Arabidopsis thaliana: one gene and its partners. The protein of the gene in region 3 interacts with the protein of the main gene of each other region in a pairwise test. Each region holds a gene or a part of one and is shown on either strand. Other genes may lie near its edges.

Region 1 (7,737 bases), 680 kb from region 3:
AGCCAGAGAAATCGTGGATCGTGTTATTGCGAAGAACAGTGTTGACAGATGGGAATTTGGTGTCCCAATGAGCAGAGATGACTAAAATCGATTTGGGTTTTTGAGGAAGAACTTTTTGAGTCCATGATTTGAAGAATTGTCTCGCTTCCAAGGAATCATCTATGCTCAAAGTTGGAGATCCATGAGATAAGAAGAAGGTTTGATTCACTTTCTCCATTGAAAATTGAAATCTCTCGAGATCTTTGCCTCTCTTTTTTTTTTTTTGCAAATGTTTCTTTTGACCAACTCTATTAGTTTTGGTTCTTCCCCAGTTTTGATGTTGTCTGAATAAAGAAACCTTTTCTGTTTGTTTGTTTTGTCAAAAGGGACACACCTACATACGACAACGACCAGGGAATGTGTATTTAACCAAATTAACCACATTTAATCTAAAAATAACTTTTTGTTTCTACTAAATAAGTTGAAACCTGTTTTAACAATTTTGATTTAATGTGATCTCAAAATTACTTGTTTGACTAATACACAGAGGATAGATTTCTATGTGTTTAGATAAAGATGTTGTTACAAGTGCATCTATTAAATCTCAAGACATTCAATCAGATAACACAATATTTCATCCCACATTAATACATCATAAGGCAATCCCATAATATACAGAAACCAATTTAAGAAAAGATTACATCTTGTCATTGCAACTCAGCTCCATGAAAGATCTTGTGTTTTTCTCATGTTTGGAACAGCTTCTTGCAAATGTTTCCTGAGACAAAACTTCTCTCCAAAGTAATCAAAACGTGTTGCTACTATAGCTGCCTTGATGAACTACCAGGTAATTGGGCAGAACTCAAATGCTCTTCCTGGAATAACGAAAAGATTTAACGATATCAACACGTGTGGTTCGAGTACAAAATGATACTAAAGTAAAGACTTTATCCAGGCAGCTGAGACCTGTAAAGTGTAAGTGAAATTGGGAGGAGGTCTGAAATCGATTTGACCCTGGACCGGACAATAAACAAAAGATGTTAACAACACGATCATTCATAACACAGTTTTTAAAATCAGTTTGAAGGATTTTATAATGTACCACCATCCCAGACATGGCTTGCTGATTCGTGAAGAAGCTATCCTGCGCCGGTGCTATCGAATTCAGTTGTCCCTGAAGAGTCAAAAGAACCAAAATTCATGTCGTTGACTTATACTCTAGCACAGATTTGGGAGATTCAAGCATTTAAACTATATGTAACCTACCAGGCCTTGGATGGTTCGTTGATCTACATAGTAGCCTTCATGAGGTGGCTCCATTAAATTTAACTATATCCACAGTTTAAACAGGTTTAGTATTAGGGTTTATAATAGATGTCGAATGGCTTAACCAGGTTTGTATTAATCAACTAACATAGCATACCAGTCCTTGAACGTTCTGTTGAGGACCATAGTAACCATTCATGTCCATCGCCTCTGAACTTATAGTTTCCTGCACAAAATGTTAAAACTATAAGGCCATATATCCAAGACATCCTACTCTTAATCTCATAAAGCAATGTGCAGTTACAATGATCAAACTAATTAGAGAAGATCAAATCAAAGCACAAACCATTGGTTGCAAGCTCTGTTGAGATTCAAGCATTTGGCTAGCCTCTTGTTGTCCCTGCATAAGATCAATTTGAGTATCTTCTTTTTAACCTTTGAAGCTAAGAAAATGTACGTAGGTTTAGATTGGCGAGAAGCTTCAGTAAAAGCATACCTTTCTTTTCCTATATACAGTCTTCTTTTTTGTTGCTTTTACCCCAGCCATTACCTGGTTTTCTTCTTCGTGAGTACCATTATTAAGCTGGCTATTAGACTCAGTGATGTTGTTTCTAGCATTATTCATATCAACACAATTTTTCAGGGTCTCGACTAGTGTGCGCAATGCGATGTTGTAGTTTTCTTCTGACACACAACCTTCCTCACTCAATTCAGTGGCTCGACTACACAAATCGTTATAGCGCTGAACTCGGGTCTGTATCTGGTCTGCTCCTTCACCAGCTAATACTCCACTCTTAGCATCTTTTGTCCACCTTTTCAATATATACTGAGGCGGGATGCTGGCGAAACCACACATCTGCAGAATCATCAAAGCATGCCGACAAAGAAACCCTTTGTATTCAAACATACGACAGAAGCAGCAAAGTTCTGACTTAGTTTTGCTCCACGTTACAAGAAAGTCATCGTCTTTTTCACAGTCTTGAACTCTAAACGTCGCCATATTTTCATCTTCTTTTTCCTTTCTAGGATGGCAAGCGACAACCCCCAAGACCTCGACTTGAAATTTCTTAAATATTGTGTGGGTGTAAGTTGTTGCCATTTGCTTCTCCCAGGGCGAGGGGGACTTCAATGCAGGTTGCTTGTGGCAAGTATCGAAATCTGCAACAGATTCCTCTTCGTACCTATTCTGCAGAATCACACCGTATTGCCTCAAGAACTCTTTCAGCGTGATTTTCTTATGGATGTACTTATCGAAGAAAGAGTTCACACTTTCTGAACGTTGAGATGTCGACATGCCTGCCAGAAACACATCGCTCATAAATGTGGGCACCCACTTTTGGCGATGTTCATGCAACCATAGCAGCCATTCATCATTCTCAAGTCCAAACTGGCTGACCATTTTCCACCACCTCATATCAAACTCATCATCTGTCCAAGATCTGAAAATGCATTTGTTGAATTTCAGTAAGAAATTCTCGTGCCGTTTCATCACATGTGAGAAATATTCAGGAATCTTTTCTAAAACATGCCATAACGCAAAGCAATGACGAGTGTTTGGTAGGAGCTCTGAAACAGCAGACATCAAGAATTTATCTTGGTCAGTGAGTATAACTTTAGGAGCTCGACCACCCATTGCTCGTAGCCATGTTTTTATCAGCCACACAAAAGTCTCCATAGACTCATCAGCAACCAATGCACAGCCTAGTAACATAGGTTGGGAGTGATGGTTCACCCCAATAAATAAAGCTAGTGGCAACTTATCGTTAAACTTGACATAAGTAGTATCAAAGGATACAACATCATTGAAACTCAAATAGTCATCTCTGCTCTTGGCATCAGCCCAAAACAGATTTCTTAAACGTTGGTCCTCGTTCAGGTCTATAGCATAAAAGAATTTAGGGTTTTCTTTCTTGATACGCTTGAAGTACTCAAGCAGTACTTGAGAATCTCCTTCTTCCAAAGCTAGATACCTACCCTTATCAACCTGACTGCTGACATCGGTCTGAAGAAGAGACCCGATATTCTTATATCCGCCAGATTGTCTCGACATTTCAACATACATTTTTTTGGTCCGTTCACTAACCGCATGCAGAATGTCGATATTATTCTTCTCAGCTAACTTGACATTCCTCTGAATCCGGAAATGATAAGCAAGGGCAGGTAAAAGTTCGTGATTGTGATCCTTTACAAACTCATGAATGATCCATTTCCCATCTGGTCTTCTCTTCACATGCATACTAGCCTTGCAATCTGTTTTTTTCACAGTTGACCTTCGACTACTACTACCACTACTCTCAGACTCAGGAGTCACACCATATCTGGAACAAGCAAACTTAGCATCAATGAAGTCTTTAGTTTTCTTGGAACGTCTACTGTTTTTAATCGACGTAGTAAAACCCATAGATTTTGCATATTCCTGATAAAAGATATACGCTGCCTCATGGGTATCAAAGTCTATACCATTTCGTGGCTCAAGATCCAGATCACCACTAAATCCAACATCTCCACCTATATTGAACTCATCAACAATTCCTATATCTCTGTTACTATGCGGTTCAACTACAATGTCAACCATATGGTCATCCCCTGCATCACTAACCAGATTCTCTTGCAAATCCATCCTAACCTTAGCCACATATGGATTCACTAACACACTCAAAAGCAACTACCCCACTATGGGCTTCCATGAAATTGGAAACTGAAATCTTTCTACTAGATAATCCACCTTAGCACCTGAAAAATGTCACAACCAAACTTCATAAGAACCAGCGCGACATCTTCTACCTAAAAACATCAAACTTGAAACACACAAAGCAATATGAAATCAATGGAATCAAATGAAAGTGAAGAACTTTCAACAACATAACTTCTAATAGTAGAAAAGTTCTGTTTCTAAAGCCAAAAAAGAGTAAAATTTCACACAAATAAGAGAAGGAGACCTGAGAACTCAAACTAAGAGAGTCAGAGACAACATACTTCTAGTAGTAGAAAAGTTCTGGTTCTAAAATTTCAGTGAAAGAACTGAACTTTCATTAGTATCAGCATAAAAGACAGAGACTTTAATGTATCTTAAGAGAAAACCTGAGAATTCAAATGAAGAGACTACAAAATTCAGGAAATGTCAAACTTTTGGATTGGTGAGGGCTTTTTACTGTATTTTCTCGGCCACCCAGAGAGAGACAAAGGGAGGGAAGGCAAAATTCTGACGTGAAAAGAGCAAAGCAAAGAAGAACACGAAGCAGGCGAGTGGGGAAGCAAAAGCGAGTGAGGAACCAAGGAGCGTGAGAGGAGAAAATCTAGGGTTCTTTTTGGGAATTTTTAGGGATCTTGGATTATGTTTTTATTTTTATTTTTTTCATTTGTTGTAAATCTCTTACTAGCCTTTACTAATTAAACATAAAGGCTTTTTGATTGGTAACACGTGTAATGACATAATGACGTTTGTTTTCGACGCGATTTTTTTTCATAATCGCGTCTATATTTACGTTTGGCGTGTGAGAAGCATTGCTGATTTATGTATTCTTAGAAAAATTGATTATTTTAAAAGCATCAGCATTGTGATTTTTTACCAAAATCTCTCGCCTACATTAATAATAATAAAATAATAAACAATATTTTTTTAATTAAAACAATTTCTAAGAAAATATGAGAAAGTTTTTAATTTAAAAGATTTGAAAAAACTATTTTAAAAAACTCTTCAAATTAAATATTTTTTTTATTATTATTACTTTAGTAAATTAAAAACTTTGGTTAGAAACCACCACTACACATGTTCTAAAAGATTTTAATTTTAACTGTATGATAATCTTCTTTTCATACAGTTTACTATAATTTTTCCACATTTTTCAAAAGAGTTATGTAGTAAACTAAATTTATCATAACTTTTAATATGATTTTTACATCTATTTTTATGATTTTTACATAACTATTAATATCTACAGTTTTTTTTTTATTATAAGTTCAAATAAAACAAAAAATACAAGAATATTAAAATAAATAACATTAAATCTATTTTTGTACATATGAGATACATGCTTATTCTTATTATGACAAATCAAGTATACTTTTTTTTTTAATCTTTACCGTCATTTTTTCTATATATATGTGGGTATCTCATATTCTATATGTAATATGCTAATCAATTACATGATGTTGATGGCTTTCACATCAAAACAGAGCTGACATTTGCCACCAAATATAAATAAAACTGTAGGGCAAATTGTACGAGAGTTGTGCTCTGAGTCACTTGCTTTTAGATTTAGTTATGGAGTTACAAATGCAGGGTTTGCATCTTATCTTTTAATATTTTTTTTCTTTTCTACTCACATATCTTTTTTTTTATGTGGAGTGGAAGATAATTGTTTTTAATTCATTTAATATTTTTTGATTTAATTCCTTTTTAAACAGCAAAATCTTTTAATATTTGATTTAATTTGGCTAAATTCTTCTAAAAATCTGAAATTTAGACATTAAATAACTTTCTAATATATATATATTTAAGTATTACTGAGAACTTTTTAATATTATATAAAAATTATATTATTTAATTAATACTTTAAGCTACCATATTATCATTAATAATGGTTATATAATTTAAAAATAATTAAAATTTGCTACGGAAAAAAAGAAAATATCAAAGAGGTGAAATAGACACGTAAGCTAAAAATCCAGCGTTGGTACTAATAGTAACCAGTAACCACTTTCATTTGTCCGTCTCGCTCTTTTAGCCTGTCAACGCTTTTCTATTTTGTCTTTTTTCTTTCTTCTAAAAATTCTCTCTTTTATTCCTTCTTCCATTTCTCTCTCTCTTCTTCCTTCTCCAGTTACTTTGGTCTCCGCCATGGCTACACAGTAAGCTTTTTCTTCGCTATTCGACTCTAAATTTGCTAACTTTGAATTCGCTTAGGTCATCTCTAATTTCACATTCGTTATTTTTCTTTTATTTTCAATTTAATATATTACAGGAGTTTACTTTCCTCTTTCGTCACTTGACTATGACTGACCTACCATAGTTAGTTAGATAGGGAGAGATACGAAGACCAAGAAGATATTTTCTCAGCTTGGTTTCTCTTATATCCTTCTGGGTTTCGCAAAACTGCAAGCAAAATTGTCTCTTTTTACGATTTGCGGCGGCGTTAGGGTTTCGTTTAGATTTTGTGATTCGTGAGTGTGTTCAAGCTTTGGGAGGAAGCAAAAATGGTGAGGAAACATGGTTGGCAACTTCCTGCTCACAAATTTCAGGTCTTTTATTTCAACCTTTCTCTGATTTTCTCCAATTTCTAACATTTGGGTTTTAGTTCATTTGTTTCGTTTGGTCATGAAACAGGTGGTTGCGATTACGGTGTTCTGCTTATTGAGTGTAGCATACTATGCGTTTTTCGCTCCTTTTGTTGGAGGACGCATCTGGGAGTATATTCTTCTCGGTGTTTACTCTCCTGTGGTATGTACTAGAATCGCTTTAGAGAATGATAAGGAATTGATAAGAGCTAGGTAGGTACATGGTAGTTTTGCATATCTGATACCCTTTTGCTTCTTGTGTCATGTGTTTGTTTTGCAGGCTCTTATTGTTTTCGTTCTTTATGTTCGTTGTACTGCAATCAATCCTGCTGATCCAGGAATCATGTCGAAATTCGAAAGAGGTGCGAGTAGAGGTGGTGACTTACCTACTGCCAAAGATATCTCGAGAAAATTTGATGAAACGGGCAGCCACCTGCAGTCTTCCCCTTCGGTTGCTTCCAGGACTTCTACTTTACCAAACTCTAGTGTGAAAGGTTCTGTTGGAGATGCTCAAAGAGTGGAAGCTGCTAAAAGAAAATCTTGCTTTAATCCGTTGGCAATATGCTGTGGCGTGTTTGTTTATGAAGATTGTCGTAGCAAAGAAGAGACGGATGAGCAGCAAGGGGATAGGGAAGAAGCTCTGTTTTGCACGTTGTGCAATGCTGAGGTAATGTGTTAATATTGGTTTATGCTTGAAGAGTAAGAAGCAACTACTAAATCCTTTGTTCACCTTGGTTTTGTGACAGGTCCGTAAGTTTAGCAAGCATTGTCGAAGTTGCGACAAATGTGTAGATTGTTTCGATCATCATTGCCGGGTAAATTTCTTACTGTTATGATAATTAACTGTTTCTTGGAGTTGATTGACTAGAGTTTTATGGGTGTGATCAAATGACATAGCTGTATTTAAATGCAACAGTGGCTTAACAATTGTGTTGGTCGCAAGAATTATATGACTTTTATATCGCTGATGGCTGTCAGTCTTCTCTGGGTACGTATATTCTCCTGATATGCCTTTTCTCAAGCTCACTTTTTGCTTACCAGTAATCAATAAATCTTTCTCTTTCTCAGCTCCTTATAGAAGCAGGAGTTGGAATTGCAGTTATAGTGCGTGTATTTGTTAATAAGAAGGACATGGAAACAGAAATCGTCAATAGACTTGGAAATGGATTTTCTCGGGCACCTTTTGCCACAGTTGTTGTAAGTATTCTTAGTGTA
Region 2 (6,506 bases), on a different chromosome or scaffold from region 3:
CGATGTAACATTCGACTGTGCGGGTTTTAACAAAACCATGTCGACAGCATTAGCAGCCACTCGTTGTGGCGGTAAAGTCTGTCTTGTCGGAATGGGTCACGGTATAATGACTGTCCCTCTCACTCCTGCAGCTGCAAGGTAACCTCCTTTGACCATCATAGTAAGAAACTTTCTAACTTTTGAAAAGTACAATCACATAATAACCAAGTAAATGTGTTGGTTTGGAGACAGGGAGGTAGATGTGGTGGGTGTGTTCAGGTACAAGAACACATGGCCATTGTGTCTTGAGTTCCTGACAAGTGGTAAGATTGATGTAAAGCCACTCATAACCCACAGATTCGGTTTCTCTCAAAAGGAAGTGGAAGATGCCTTTGAAACCAGTGCTCGTGGGAGCAATGCCATCAAAGTTATGTTCAATCTCTGAAAACAATCTTTGCTTTTCTAAGAACATATTAAGGTTTCATAATAAGGAAGCTTCTGTAACTTTGTTATCCATTGTATATCAACTCTGAATCTCTCTTGAATAAGATAATCCTTTATGATAAATTGACCAATACAATCCAAGCGTTACAAGACAAATGCTGAAATTGGACAAAAAGGGACCTAAATTCTCCCGATTCTGTCTCAAAACTCCTAACATGACACGATCTTGGCCACTGTCCATTTCATCAGACCGTGGCTTCTACTAGGAGGACCTCAACAAGAAAGAAAAGTCTCCAAAATAGACTCATATATAATGGTACAAGAAAATCGTAGAAAACATCTCTTTGACGATAGCATCAAACTTTCTCAAGGCAAAGCCGCGGTTGGTTCAGTGCACCATTTCCATACTTTAACTTGACCAGTTCCGTCACCCGTGAAAAATATGCCCCCGGGACCTATCTGGATCGCCCGTATCTCTTGCTTTGCAAAGATTTTTCCCCTCTCCGTAAATCTAATGAACAAACCTAAGCTATCAGAACCAATAAGAGAGAAAGAGATGAAGAATTCATACATAAACGTTGAAAGTCTTACGATGGTAAGTCGTAGAGGCGCAAGGTGTTGTCATTGCAAGCGCATAACAAAACAGGCTTGGCTTCTGCATCATGTACACCACATAGAGCTAGCACTCCCTGAATCCAGTTTAAACATTGCCAAAATTTCTTAGTCACATAACATATAGATTAGGACCATAAGAGAAGGTAACACATTTATAAAAGAAACCATACATGTTCTTCTTTGTGAGTATATGTTACTTCCAAATTGCCACCTTCGATTGCAGCCCATATCTACAGCGGAAAAACACATTAACAAGAGAAAGAATGAAACTTAAGAAATTTATGAAAGTTAAAGAAAGACGAACTAACCTTAACCGTGTTGTCCAATGAACAAGACAAAAGGAATTGATCCCAGCAAATGAGAGACATCACAACTGATGAATGATCAGTGAGTGTTTGTATACACTGTAGATTATCCAAACTCCAAACCTATCAAACAAAAAACATATAAACCAAAAAGATTAGCTCAAAGAAAGAAAAAAATAGTGAGAGTTTTCAATTCAAATATAATAGATAATACTAGTACTTACTTTTATAGTTTTGTCCATGGAACCCGAATAAAGTCTGTTCGCCCCAACATATAAGGTAACAACTGCAAGTGTATGGCCCGTCAGTGACGCTGATGGTTCAAAACAGTTAGTGGCAGCATTATATCTCCATGCCAAAATAGAGCCATCCTGCACAGAATGTAAAGAACTTGTCACTTATATAACCAAAAGCCGACTATTTCGCAGAGATCTCAGCAAGAAAAGAAAACTTGGAAATTTACCTGTGTTCCAGCAAAGAGCAGATCAGTACCCACAACAAGAGAATAGACTTGGCCAACAGGTCCACTTAGACTCTGGTCAGCATTGGTTTCAATATTCCACGCCTGTATCAACAACAATGAGACATAACCCCATAAGCATCTAAGAATGAAAAGGGTTCCTCGATATCTATTGTGACAGTCAAAGAAAAGTACTGTTAAGAGGAATCATACTGAATACTTGCCTTGACAAGGTTTGGCATGCCAACTAATAGCCACGGGCCTTCACTAAGCACACAGCCAATTTCCCCACCAAGTTTGAGTACTCCTGTACACTAATCAAAAGAGAAAAGAACAATATCCACGATAAGTAAACTTGAAACAGTCTTTCACAAGATCAGAAAATGCATTCCTCAAATACAATCAGCATCAGCGAATTAGACACTTCCTTTCCTAATTTGACAACAAAGACACCAATTTCCATCGATATATCAGTGCTCACTACTCTACTTATGACAAATTGCAGTCTCTTGTGTCACTCTAAATCTTAACCAAGCAGTTATAACTATTCATCAAACATGGTTTTCTAGCTAGAGAGGACAACAATAACATCCATGGACAACAACTGCATTCTCTAAAGCCACTCTATATCCTAACCAAACAATTCTATCACTGAGGAAAGCTTAAGGTCCTTTGAGCAAACCATACCTGTCCAGAAGCACAATCCCAAACACGCAAGGTCTCATCTTTACTTCCAGTGTAAAGCTTATCAGAACCAGAAGGCAAAGCAATACCACTAACAAGCTTCTCATGACCATCAAGCTGAGTCAACAACGCAAAGCTCTCTCCTTTACTCCAACAATGCAAGTATCTACACTTATCACCGTATGTGCAATTCCCATCTACCCAAAAGTTGCAAACTTTCTCAGTCTTCGTCACCGTTCTGTTCCCACCAAATCTCCCCCAACTACTACTCGAGTTCCCATTAAACCCAGGTCCTCTCCGATGACTCGGACCCGCGAAACCAGATTCCTCAGCGACCCTTTTGTTCGTATAACCCGGGCCTTGACCTTGACCCGGACCAGGACCCGGTAATTCCCGATGTAGATAAGGACAAGGAGAACGATTACAACGCCCGGCTCGCCAGTGGAAACAAACCTTTTGTCTTGTATCCGTTGGTGCCATCGGACGAGTTGACCCGCCACCGCCACCGAGTCTGTTGAAGACTCGTTTGTTTCCTCCGTTCAAATCGAAATCCATAGCTTTTTTTATTGCCTCTCACTCTCTTTCTCTAGATTACAATAACAACAGACGCAAATTAACACAAGACCGAACTTAAAAGTAAGGATTTTTCCGATTGGTATATAGATAAATCAAGCTGCAAAATTGGAGGAAACCCTAATTACCAAAAGAATCTCTGAGAAGTAGTAATCAAAATATGAAAGTATGAGAAAGAAAAATTTGGGATTGTTGTGAATGTGGTGAAGTGATAATAATGCAGAGAAAAAAGAGAAAAACTTTGGAGTGGATTTATTTGTATGTGTTTATAAGCTTTGGATCTTCGTGGAGAGGACAGAAGTAGTAGAAGAGAAAGAGAAAGTGAACACCAGTCGCGTCAGCTTGACGTCTATTGTTTAGTTACTATTTTATCCCTATGATGGCTCTATTTTACAAAATTACTTTAGTGTTTTCTCTCGGTTTAAATCGGTTCTGATTTAGACCGGATTGTAGGTTTATGCTTTTGCCTTGGAATGAAGGGTTCTAGGCACAAGCACAACCCTATACATAATGAAGGGTTTTTAAATCTAGCGAGCCAAGAAACCCCACACTTCTATAACTGAAAGAAAAGGACATGTAAAGTTAGTGAGGGCCAGGGACATGTTTTTCTAGTGAAAAGATTTCCAAGTGTTCAGTGTTTGCTTAGAAGAAAAAAGATAGATGATTACCATAAGGCGTGACTCATGAGAAGCTTGAGGCCACATATAAATATTCTACCTTTTTTAAGAACCACAATATAGAAGCTATATCAGTCTAATGGTCAAGGACCTCTATTACTCATTCACGTGTTTGGACTAATGTGTAAGAGATTTTATAGTTTTAATTTTTTTTGCTGAGTCTACAAGGAATATATGATAATGTGAATCAGGATTATATTTGGAAAAGCAGAGGTTTCAAGCTTTTATAAGCTCTGGAAATTTGGTAAAGATTGTCAATACATCAACGAAACAAAGAGAAATCTATTTACAGTTTCAGATACAACAAAACAAAATTTTCAAATTCTATAGCTCTAATTTGATCAAATCTGTTTACCAAAAACAAACAAAGAACATTCTAACAAGAATAAATGATAGACGATTTATTACTAAAGATTTGGTACCAAACAAAAAATACAGGTACGGAACTCCGGACCAATCCTAGATGTCCAAATAATCCCTAAACTAACTTATTATCCAGAAAAAGAGCCAAAAAATTACTCGTCAAAACTCCAGAGTGACACGTCACCCACTCCGTCAAAGTCGTTATGATTCCAGCCAACTTCCGGCGGCGGCAAAAGCATCCCCTCCGCCATATTCTCAAAAAAGTTGGGCATCCCCAAAAGCGCCTCATCATCCATATAAAACACACCACCATTCTGCTCCTCCGCCCTCCTCTCCCCCTCCCTCACCCCCTCCCCTGCCGCCTCCTCTGCCTCCGCCGCAGTTTTAGATCCCTCCGTCGTAGTCTCATTCTGAAACGCCATTGCAGCTTCAGACGCAGCTTTCTGAATCTCCTTAGGACAAGTAGTCTCAGGAATACGAAGCCGCCAAGCAGAATCAGCGAAATTGAGACAAGCAGAGCGACCACGAAGAGCTAAAGCAGCAACATCATGAGCACGAGCAGCCATTTCAACCGTCGGAAAAGTACCTAACCAAATCCTAGATTTCTTATTAGGCTCTCTAACTTCACAAACCCATTTACCAGAATTCCTCTGACGAACTCCTCTGTAAATCGGATGACGTGTCTCACGAAACTTCTTCCTCCCAGCTCGTTTCTTTGGACAACTTGAAGCTAACTTTGGTGAACACTCACTACTGTCTGAAACCGGAGATCTATGATCGGAGATTGAGAGAAACGAGTCTGGGAATGTAGAGTAAAATGGATTCATTTTTTCTTTGGATAAGATGTTTTATTTCTCTTTCTATCTTTTTATGTTTTCAGGTGTTGGAACTTTTGGAGATATTTTTATTACAGAAAGTGAAGAAGTGTTGTGTTTTTATTTTATAAGAAAAGTGAGAAACACGGAGGATCTGGTAACGACAAGTGTCCCACGGTATGTGACTTACACGTGTCCTTCTGAATCACTTTACTTCGTCTAAGTGTATTGTGTACTGTGGCTGGTTCCGATTCGATGGTTCAGTTTTGATATTTATTATTTTATTGAATTTAAGTATGGTGTTCGGAGAAAGGGGACGATTTAGAAAAAGACAAAACAGTCTTTAGTTTTAAAAAGTGATAAAGATACGTTGAGGATGACGTCATGGGAACACGTTTTTGACAGTTGGAGTGTAAACTGCTCTCTGTGGTTCGAAAGGTGAGCCACGTTTGAAGGGACGGGTTCGTCCGCTGTCTAGCCACGGTTTGGGGTTTCGCTTTTTGTAATCTGACCCACGCGCTTTTAGCTTTTGGTGTGGGTCCCTTTTCTTATTCATTATTTTTGGCAATTGTTTGGATTATATTTATTTCTGTGTTTTATTATTGGAAATCCATTGGATTATTCTATGAACTTCTTCTAACTATTATCATCATCAGCCTTACCAAAAAACAAAAGTATTATCATCATCAACTAAGCCAAAGATGGATACGTGGCCAAGGCGGATTGTGTATTTTTTTCATTATGTACCCAAAATACATTGAACCAGTAGTTTAAAGACAATCCAGTCTTGTTGAACCAGTCGAGTTTTTTATTCTTTAATACAACAAAAAAAAAATCAATCAAAATGGAGTTGTCTTCATTCGATTCGGTTTCAAAAATAATTAGACCCTTTCGCATAATTTTATAAATGAATATTTGATTTTATAATCAGCAAGGCCAAGGAGATTTCAAGAATTTGAGTAACTTTTTTACTAAACGTCTAAACCTTTCAACTAAAACCAAACACAACATCAATTAGACGACGAGCTTTAACACAGAAAACTTTTAAAACCCAAAACAATGTACTAGACTCCATGAACGATGGAGCCAAAGCTTTTACATCAACTTTGTACATTCAATTAAAGACCAAGTAAAGCCCTGAGACAACAAAGGTGCAAAGCCTTTGGTCCCATGTAAGATGTTTTTTTTTCACTATAACAAATAATTGTGTTGGGATCTTCCATATAAGGAACTGGAACTTTGGTTCTCTCACACCTGAAAGTCCACATCATCACATCGGACGTTGTTGTTGTTGTTCTCATCATCCTCTTCAAACCAATTCGTCACCAGAATCTTATAAGCCTTCTCGTAGATATCATCGTTTTTGTTCATTTGCAGCTTCGAAATCTTTTCTAGCCCTTCCGCATCTTCAATCAGTAGACAATAAGGGTTCACGTCTTCACTGTTCTTTTCAGCCTCTCCGGCCTTCAACATGTTTTCCAATCCATCCAGACACTTTAAGATGGTGGTTCTTTCATCTGAATATACTAGGATATCACATAATTGTTTTATGCAACTCTGCTCCGCCATGTATCTGAATCACACCAATGGA
Region 3 (6,475 bases):
CAAGAGAGTTTAAGGAATCTTCCGGTTAAAAAGATCTCTTCTGTTCAAAGATCTGTTAAAAATAGAACACCTTTTGATTCAATTCTGTATAATGGTGGAAAGAAGAGAAAATGTGAGCGTAGACGTGTTCAGTTGGAAGATGAGGTATCTAGTACTACTCCTTCTGTTGGAAAGTTTGAGAATAAGGCTTCAGGGTTCGATCTTTTAACTGCGCAAAGTTTGAAAAAAGGAAGCTTTAAAGTTAAGAGTAAGCGGCTTAGCTTCCATAGGTCGCCGTATGGTTTCAAGAACCATTACCAAAGTTGTTTAGGCCTTAAGAGCTTTGAGGGATCATATGATGAAAATGATCCTCTTCTTGTGAACTCCAATGGTAAGTTTTTTTGTTGTCTTTATTCAATTATATTGGATAGTGAATGTTGATTTTGATGCAAGTTGTAACATTGTAGATAGTGGAAAAGCATTGGAGGATGTGTCGTTGCGGAAAAGTGTTTCACTAAGTTCTGTTGGGTGTGGAGTGGGAGAGGGTGCATGCAGTTCCCCTGGTATGGTACAGAGGACGGTTGAGATGTCAGAACAAGTGCTTGGGGAAGAACGAGCTGCACGTGCTTCGTTAGCTCTTGAACTTGAGAAAGAGAGAAATGCTGCTGCATCTGCTGCAGATGAGGCTTTAGGTATGATATTACGGTTGCAAGAAGAAAAGGCGTCGATAGAGATGGAAGCTAGGCAATATCAGCGGATGATAGAAGAAAAGTCTGCTTTTGATGCGGAAGAGATGAGTATTCTTAAAGAAATTTTGCTTAGGAGGGAGAGGGAGAAACATTTTCTGGAGAAGGAAGTTGATACCTACAGGCAAATGTTTCTTGAGACTGAGCAACCTCACAATACTCCAGATTCTAAACCAGCTCAAATCGAAAGATTGCAGACGCCGCAACAGATTACTGAACCATGGGATGACATGGAGACTGTGAATGTCTCTTCTGGATTTGAGATCTTCACTAATCAGATGGACAATACTGAGTGTGATCAGTCAAGAAGTGAGCCATTTGATGCCCTGAGTGATATAGAACTGAAAGAAAGAGAGGAAGGTGAAACTTTATATGCAGAACTAGTATCAAGAACTAGCGACATTGCTGTTTCTAAGAAGCTTTGTGAGGACCCTCACGACATTGATTGTCATGTACATGACATCCATGTAGTGACTGATGAAGATAACAAGGGGCAACTGAATGTTCCTTCTGACCATGCCACTCAGGATCTGAAACTGGACAGATCACAAAGTGTTTCAGATACAAGTTATGCATTTCCACAAGGGAAAAGTAACATGTCTACCAATATGCGAAGAAATTCAATGTCAGCTATTGACTATGAAAGACTGAAAATAGAGAGTGAAGTTGGGTTGCTGAGAGGTCGGTTAAGAGCTGTACAAAAGGGAAGAGAGAAGATCAGTTTTTCTTCCAAAGATCAGAGCAAATCGCAGGTACAGCGTTGTGGAGATAAAACAAGCCGGTTTTGGGAGGCTAGAAGATCTGGACATCTTGACTCTTCTAGCCCTTCATCCACAATGGTGAGTTTCATCGTTGTGTGCTTTGATATGAGGGTTGAAAAATTGCTAAGAGTGCTCTCTTTGTTTCACAGTTCTTGGTAGTTAAATCTTCCATGGTTTTTTGCTTACCAAGTGGCTGAATCTTGTATGGTTTCAAATGGTGTTTTTGCAGGTAAAGGCTATGTCTATGCCACTGGACCTGCATAGTGCTTGAACTGCAAGGTATGTACTTACTCGAAATAACACGACACGATTATACGCCTAGTGAAAACATGAGCAAGTGTAGTTTTGTAACAATCTCTGCCAAAACTCTAATGTTGGTTATTGCCGGGAGAGTATTGTACTTTGTACTCTAAACGGCGTCGTTTCGAAACAAAAATTGACGCTTTTGTGGTCGGTAAAAAGTTTAAGTTTCTTCTCTTTCCAAATAAGTGATACTTGTCCTCTTTCTATTTCTGTGCCAAAACTTTAGATTTTTCACTTTTGTTTGCATATTCGGAAATACAATTGAAGCTAAAAATGACATAATTATTTCTAAAGTTATATAATCAACTTTTTATTTGGTTGTAGAAACTCATATTGTAGTTGTTGACAAAAGAAAAGATAATCTAAATTCATATTTGCCCTTTAACGCTTCTCTGCCCTATTACTATTCATATTCTCTATTGACCTTTGAGCTTTAGTATAGAATGTAGGAAATATTCTAACATTGGACTTTTAAAGTTGGAGTTGGTGCAACAGAATTATAATATTTTCTCATTAGAAAACAAACACTTTTCTATTTTATGGTTACTAGTAACCGCAAAGAAAAGAACAATTAATTAGCAGACAAAAAAAGGAGAACCACTTGATTATGTGGTCGTAAGAAGAATTACAATGTGTTCAACCCCAAATGCAAACCAATCTTGGCATCATAATATGAATTTCTTTCTTTGGTGGAAACTTTTGATATAAAAAAGGGTAGAAGTAAGTAAAATAAGTTTGACAAATATTAATTTGAAGTCAAGAAGAATGAGGAAATGAGAGAGCATCCCAAATGAGATCCATATCCAAAGAAGGCATCCTACTCAATTGTACACCATCTCCTTCCATCACTTCCTTATGGCTTTTCTGTTTCTTCATCATCACGTCTTCTCCTGACTCCATCTTCATGTGATGATTCTTTTGCTCCGGTGTTCCCACTTTTGGAGGAGGAGGAGAAGGAGAGTTACTTACTTGGGAAGATGAGATCTGTTGAATCTTGGACTCCAAAAGTGAGGCGATCATGCATCGCAAAGAACCGGACTTGAGCTGGTGTTTAAGATCAGGAAAGTTGAGGTGTGCGAATTCGCCACGAAGGATATAAGCTGCTGTATCGTAAGCCATTGCTGCTTGCTCAGCGGTTTCAAAAGTGCCGAGCCAAACACGGGTTCTGTTCCTTGGAAGCCTAATCTCTGCGACCCATTTGCCCCAGTGTCTTTGTCTCACTCCTCTATACAGTTTTGTTGGGGTCGTCGTCTGAACAACCTTTCTTGTTTTTGACTTCATGGGTTGAGTCTTGGTGGTACTTAGCCAATAGTTTCCAAAACCTTTCGAGGGATAGTTGGTTAGAGTTTTATTGATCTCTACCCATTCGTTTCTGTTTTGGTCTGATTGATAAAAGGAGTTTGGGATGTATTTATGGTAAGGGCTCATGTTGCTTTCGGATTGAGAAAGTTCTAGTAGCTTTGGTTCTTTAAGGAACAAAGTAAGGTTTGGAGGTTTAGAAGGATGATGATCAGGATGTTGAGACTGAGGAAAAGATTCTAGAAAGTTCCAAGGAACAGAAGCTACCGGAGATGGATGAATAGAAGATGTGAGCTCATGATCATGAGGCGACACAAAGTAGCTCGGAGTCGAAGAAGCAGGAAGAAGAGGAGATTTCATACCTTCCAAAAATATTGGAACACCGAGAAGTTGTGGCGGCGTCGAAGAACTCAAGAACCCGTAGATTCCAGAAGACAAGAGCTTGTCGTGCATGAAGCTAGTTTCTATTTTAGGAAACTGATCTTCCATGTTCCTTTTTTTGTTTGTTTTTTGAGTGTTTGTCCAGAGAATGAAGCCTGTTCTTAATTTTGACAAAATAGGTGGAGAATAAATGTTTATATATACGAGAATTAAGGAGTGTTGTGTGTGTATTGGTGTGATCATGTGGAGATAATATTAGAAAATTTAAGGAACCTAACTTTATTGTCCGAAAAAAACATTATCATCTGACTCAGATCTACGCTCTGCCAAGCTTAATTTGTTCATATGTAAACTAGAGAATTAAAGAGTCTCACAAACACTTTTGGTTAAACAATATTATTGTTAATATTTTGTATTTTTTTCTTTCATAAACAATAATTTGACCTTTATTTTTTCTTATCTTGCGACTTGTTCGTGGCCTCCATTTTACGTTCGCTTTTTCTTATAACTTATCAATCCAAACGTGACAGCTTAGCCCTAACTCATTTAGGTGTTATATATAGCCATATATTGTTTTTTTTTTGGTATAGGGTTTTATATTTAAATTTTACGAATGATGTTGTTGTTGGATACCAACGTTGTTTTCATTTGGTCACTTTAAATATTTAAAAGTTCTTCTAGTTTTTTCATATTGTATAAATACGAAATTTGCTTTTCAATTTGATGGTTGTACTAATATTACATTATTGTTATATCTTGTTAATAAGAGATATATATTCAATATATATGTATATACAGTACACGAAAAATAAAAAGGATGTGGTTTAATGTTCAATATCTTGTTAATTAAACTTAGAACATTAAATCTGTAGTATATTCAAAGTCATAGCAAGAAAAAGAAGTACCAATTTTTTTTATATTTTTTTTATATGTAAATTTGGTTTCCCTTACTAAGATATATATATTTCTTGTAAGAACCTTAATCTTTAAGCATTCTTTAAGCTTTTTTTTTTCAATAAACAAACGATTCTAACTGTGTTTAATTTATTATTCTCGTCTGTTTAGTTATCTTTAGAGTTTTTAAGGCGAAACCTAGGAATATGACTTTGGACCATACAGTATAGGACTTTTCTTTGCTAGATTCCATCTCAAAAAACATAAATTTTCACTATTATATTATAGTAATATATATAGATGAATACACAAATGTTTAATGTATATTTAGTGATCCGCTGTGAAATGCAAATTACAAAAAATATATCTATATATATATATATGTACGTCTGAATACATACTGAATAGTAATTATTAAACTTCTTAATTACAGTTGTACGGGACTAATTATTGGAGCGATGTGATACCAAGAAAACATTATTGAAACGATATTTCATGATAACATTTATCTAATTGGAGAATAAAATTTAATTTGTAAACCACGTATAGTTTAGCACAGATAATCACCACAAATGCTTATAATTAGTGAGCCCATAATTATTAATATTATCATCCAAATACAATGATTAGCTTCAAGTTTTGGCCTCTAATTGAATCCAACTAATGCGGAAGTCATGGGTTGTCTTCTTTTCCTCTCTAGAACATCAGTTTATGTCTGCTTCTTTATTTTACAATATTGTAATAACTTGCTGATGTGGTCTCTTAACTTTTTAAATTAATCGGATTCACCCATAAATTATTCTGTTCGTTCATGTTAGTCACTGTTACAATGGATACAATTCCTTGCAAGAACACTTTTTCCGACGCATATACTCATCTCTTGCTTCATCTTTAGTTACTCCAATTTTTTATATTGTCAATTTAGATTTTGAGACTAAATTTAAGTAACTAATCAAGATATAAGTTTCTTTTTTTAATATAATATAGTTCATTAAACATGTTTAACAATGAATCAAACAGGTAAGATAAGGGTCGAATTGGAAGCTTCGTATTCTAATTTGAGATGATGCACATTTTGTCCTTTGAGATGACTGTTGGGTCGTTTTACGAAAAGAATTATTATTTGATTTATGGAAACAAAATGTTAACGACAAAATAAAATTTATAAAAAGGCTTAAGAGGAAAAAAAAAAGCAGTTGACCAAAAAAATCAGAGGAAAAAAGTATTTCTTTCTTATTTTTATTTTTAACCTATTCCAGTTTCATGTAAATTAATTTGATCCAATTTGATCTCTAACATATTTTAATAGTAAATGTATGTCTTAGTATGGGCTTTAATCACTGATGGTCACCGTGAAGACATTTTTAACCATGTATACCAGACATCTAATGAAAAAAGGCTACAATTATATTAGAACTTTTCATAAAAAAATTGCTTTGGTCACTGTCTCATAATTTAAAAACTAATACTCAATATAAATTAGCAAGTTGGCGCTATTATACGACATTCCTAAATACATCATCTCAAAAACAAATATTTAAGGAGGTTTTGTTTATTAAATAATATCTCTATTTTCTATCATTTATAGATAGGACATAAAAAACATAATATAAAATGATGACAAGTGACAACATTAAAAAAAAACAAAAAAAAAAACAAGTGACAACATATGACTTTATCTGGTTTACTAATTCATTTTTCCAATTTCGTTATTTGTTTTCATAAAAATAGCATTCTCGATCTCAAAACATTTCACATTTTACTTTCGTACGTTAATATAAAATAGAATAGACATATAAAAAATGTTAGCAATTGTCTATGATTTTGCTTTATTGAAGAAAATACAGGTTCTACCCTTTTAATGTTATATTCCAATAATTATTTTATTTTATACATAAATAATTAAAAAAATTTGTTTACTGCTACATGTTCTATTAGATTTCATGATTTTTTTTCGAAATATATACCACTATTTTGCCGTTATATGTTTCAATAAAAAGTTAATGGCTGAGCTTCCGAGTGAGATAAGCGTGTCTATAAACAATTGTTTAAGCTTAAAACTCAAAATCTACGGATAGAGCATTTTTTTTTTTTTTTTTTGTCAAAGACCAA

What was found.
Region 1: the proteins of AT4G13620 (region 3) and FAR1 interact in a two-hybrid assay, tested with the Arabidopsis thaliana proteins (one large-scale study listed by BioGRID).
Region 2: the proteins of AT4G13620 (region 3) and AT5G51980 interact in a two-hybrid assay, tested with the Arabidopsis thaliana proteins (one large-scale study listed by BioGRID).

The regions. Positions count from the first base shown.
Region 1 is NC_003075.7:8,610,934-8,618,670, reverse strand, and holds FAR1 (FRS (FAR1 Related Sequences) transcription factor family), read right to left. Parts: upstream 4,612-7,737; 5' UTR 4,398-4,611; exon of another isoform or gene 3,979-4,397; 5' UTR 3,866-3,978; coding exon 1,742-3,865; intron 1,646-1,741; coding exon 1,592-1,645; intron 1,472-1,591; coding exon 1,403-1,471; intron 1,309-1,402; coding exon 1,246-1,308; intron 1,154-1,245; coding exon 1,082-1,153; intron 994-1,081; coding exon 946-993; intron 855-945; coding exon 801-854; 3' UTR 501-800; downstream 1-500. Other genes in the region: catalytic LigB subunit of aromatic ring-opening dioxygenase family, read right to left, coding at 1-217; AT4G15080 (DHHC-type zinc finger family protein), read left to right, coding at 6,442-6,486, 6,572-6,685, 6,803-7,189, 7,269-7,337, 7,439-7,510, 7,591-7,719. UniProt on the Arabidopsis thaliana protein: Transcription activator that recognizes and binds to the DNA consensus sequence 5'-CACGCGC-3'. Activates the expression of FHY1 and FHL involved in light responses. Positive regulator of chlorophyll biosynthesis via the activation of HEMB1 gene expression.
Region 2 is NC_003076.8:21,112,861-21,119,366, forward strand, and holds AT5G51980 (Transducin/WD40 repeat-like superfamily protein), read right to left. Parts: upstream 3,338-6,506; 5' UTR 3,189-3,337; exon of another isoform or gene 3,074-3,188; 5' UTR 3,043-3,073; coding exon 2,491-3,042; intron 2,118-2,490; coding exon 2,028-2,117; intron 1,909-2,027; coding exon 1,807-1,908; intron 1,715-1,806; coding exon 1,568-1,714; intron 1,467-1,567; coding exon 1,347-1,466; intron 1,269-1,346; coding exon 1,209-1,268; intron 1,113-1,208; coding exon 1,015-1,112; intron 935-1,014; coding exon 790-934; 3' UTR 501-789; downstream 1-500. Other genes in the region: AT5G51970 (GroES-like zinc-binding alcohol dehydrogenase family protein), read left to right, coding at 1-138, 232-424; CBF4 (C-repeat-binding factor 4), read right to left, coding at 4,253-4,927; IMPA-8 (importin alpha), read right to left, coding at 6,164-6,488.
Region 3 is NC_003075.7:7,929,375-7,935,849, reverse strand, and holds AT4G13620 (Integrase-type DNA-binding superfamily protein), read right to left. Parts: upstream 3,720-6,475; 5' UTR 3,713-3,719; coding exon 2,546-3,712; 3' UTR 2,271-2,545; downstream 1-2,270. Other genes in the region: AT4G13630 (zein-binding protein (Protein of unknown function, DUF593)), read left to right, coding at 1-370, 447-1,564, 1,716-1,757.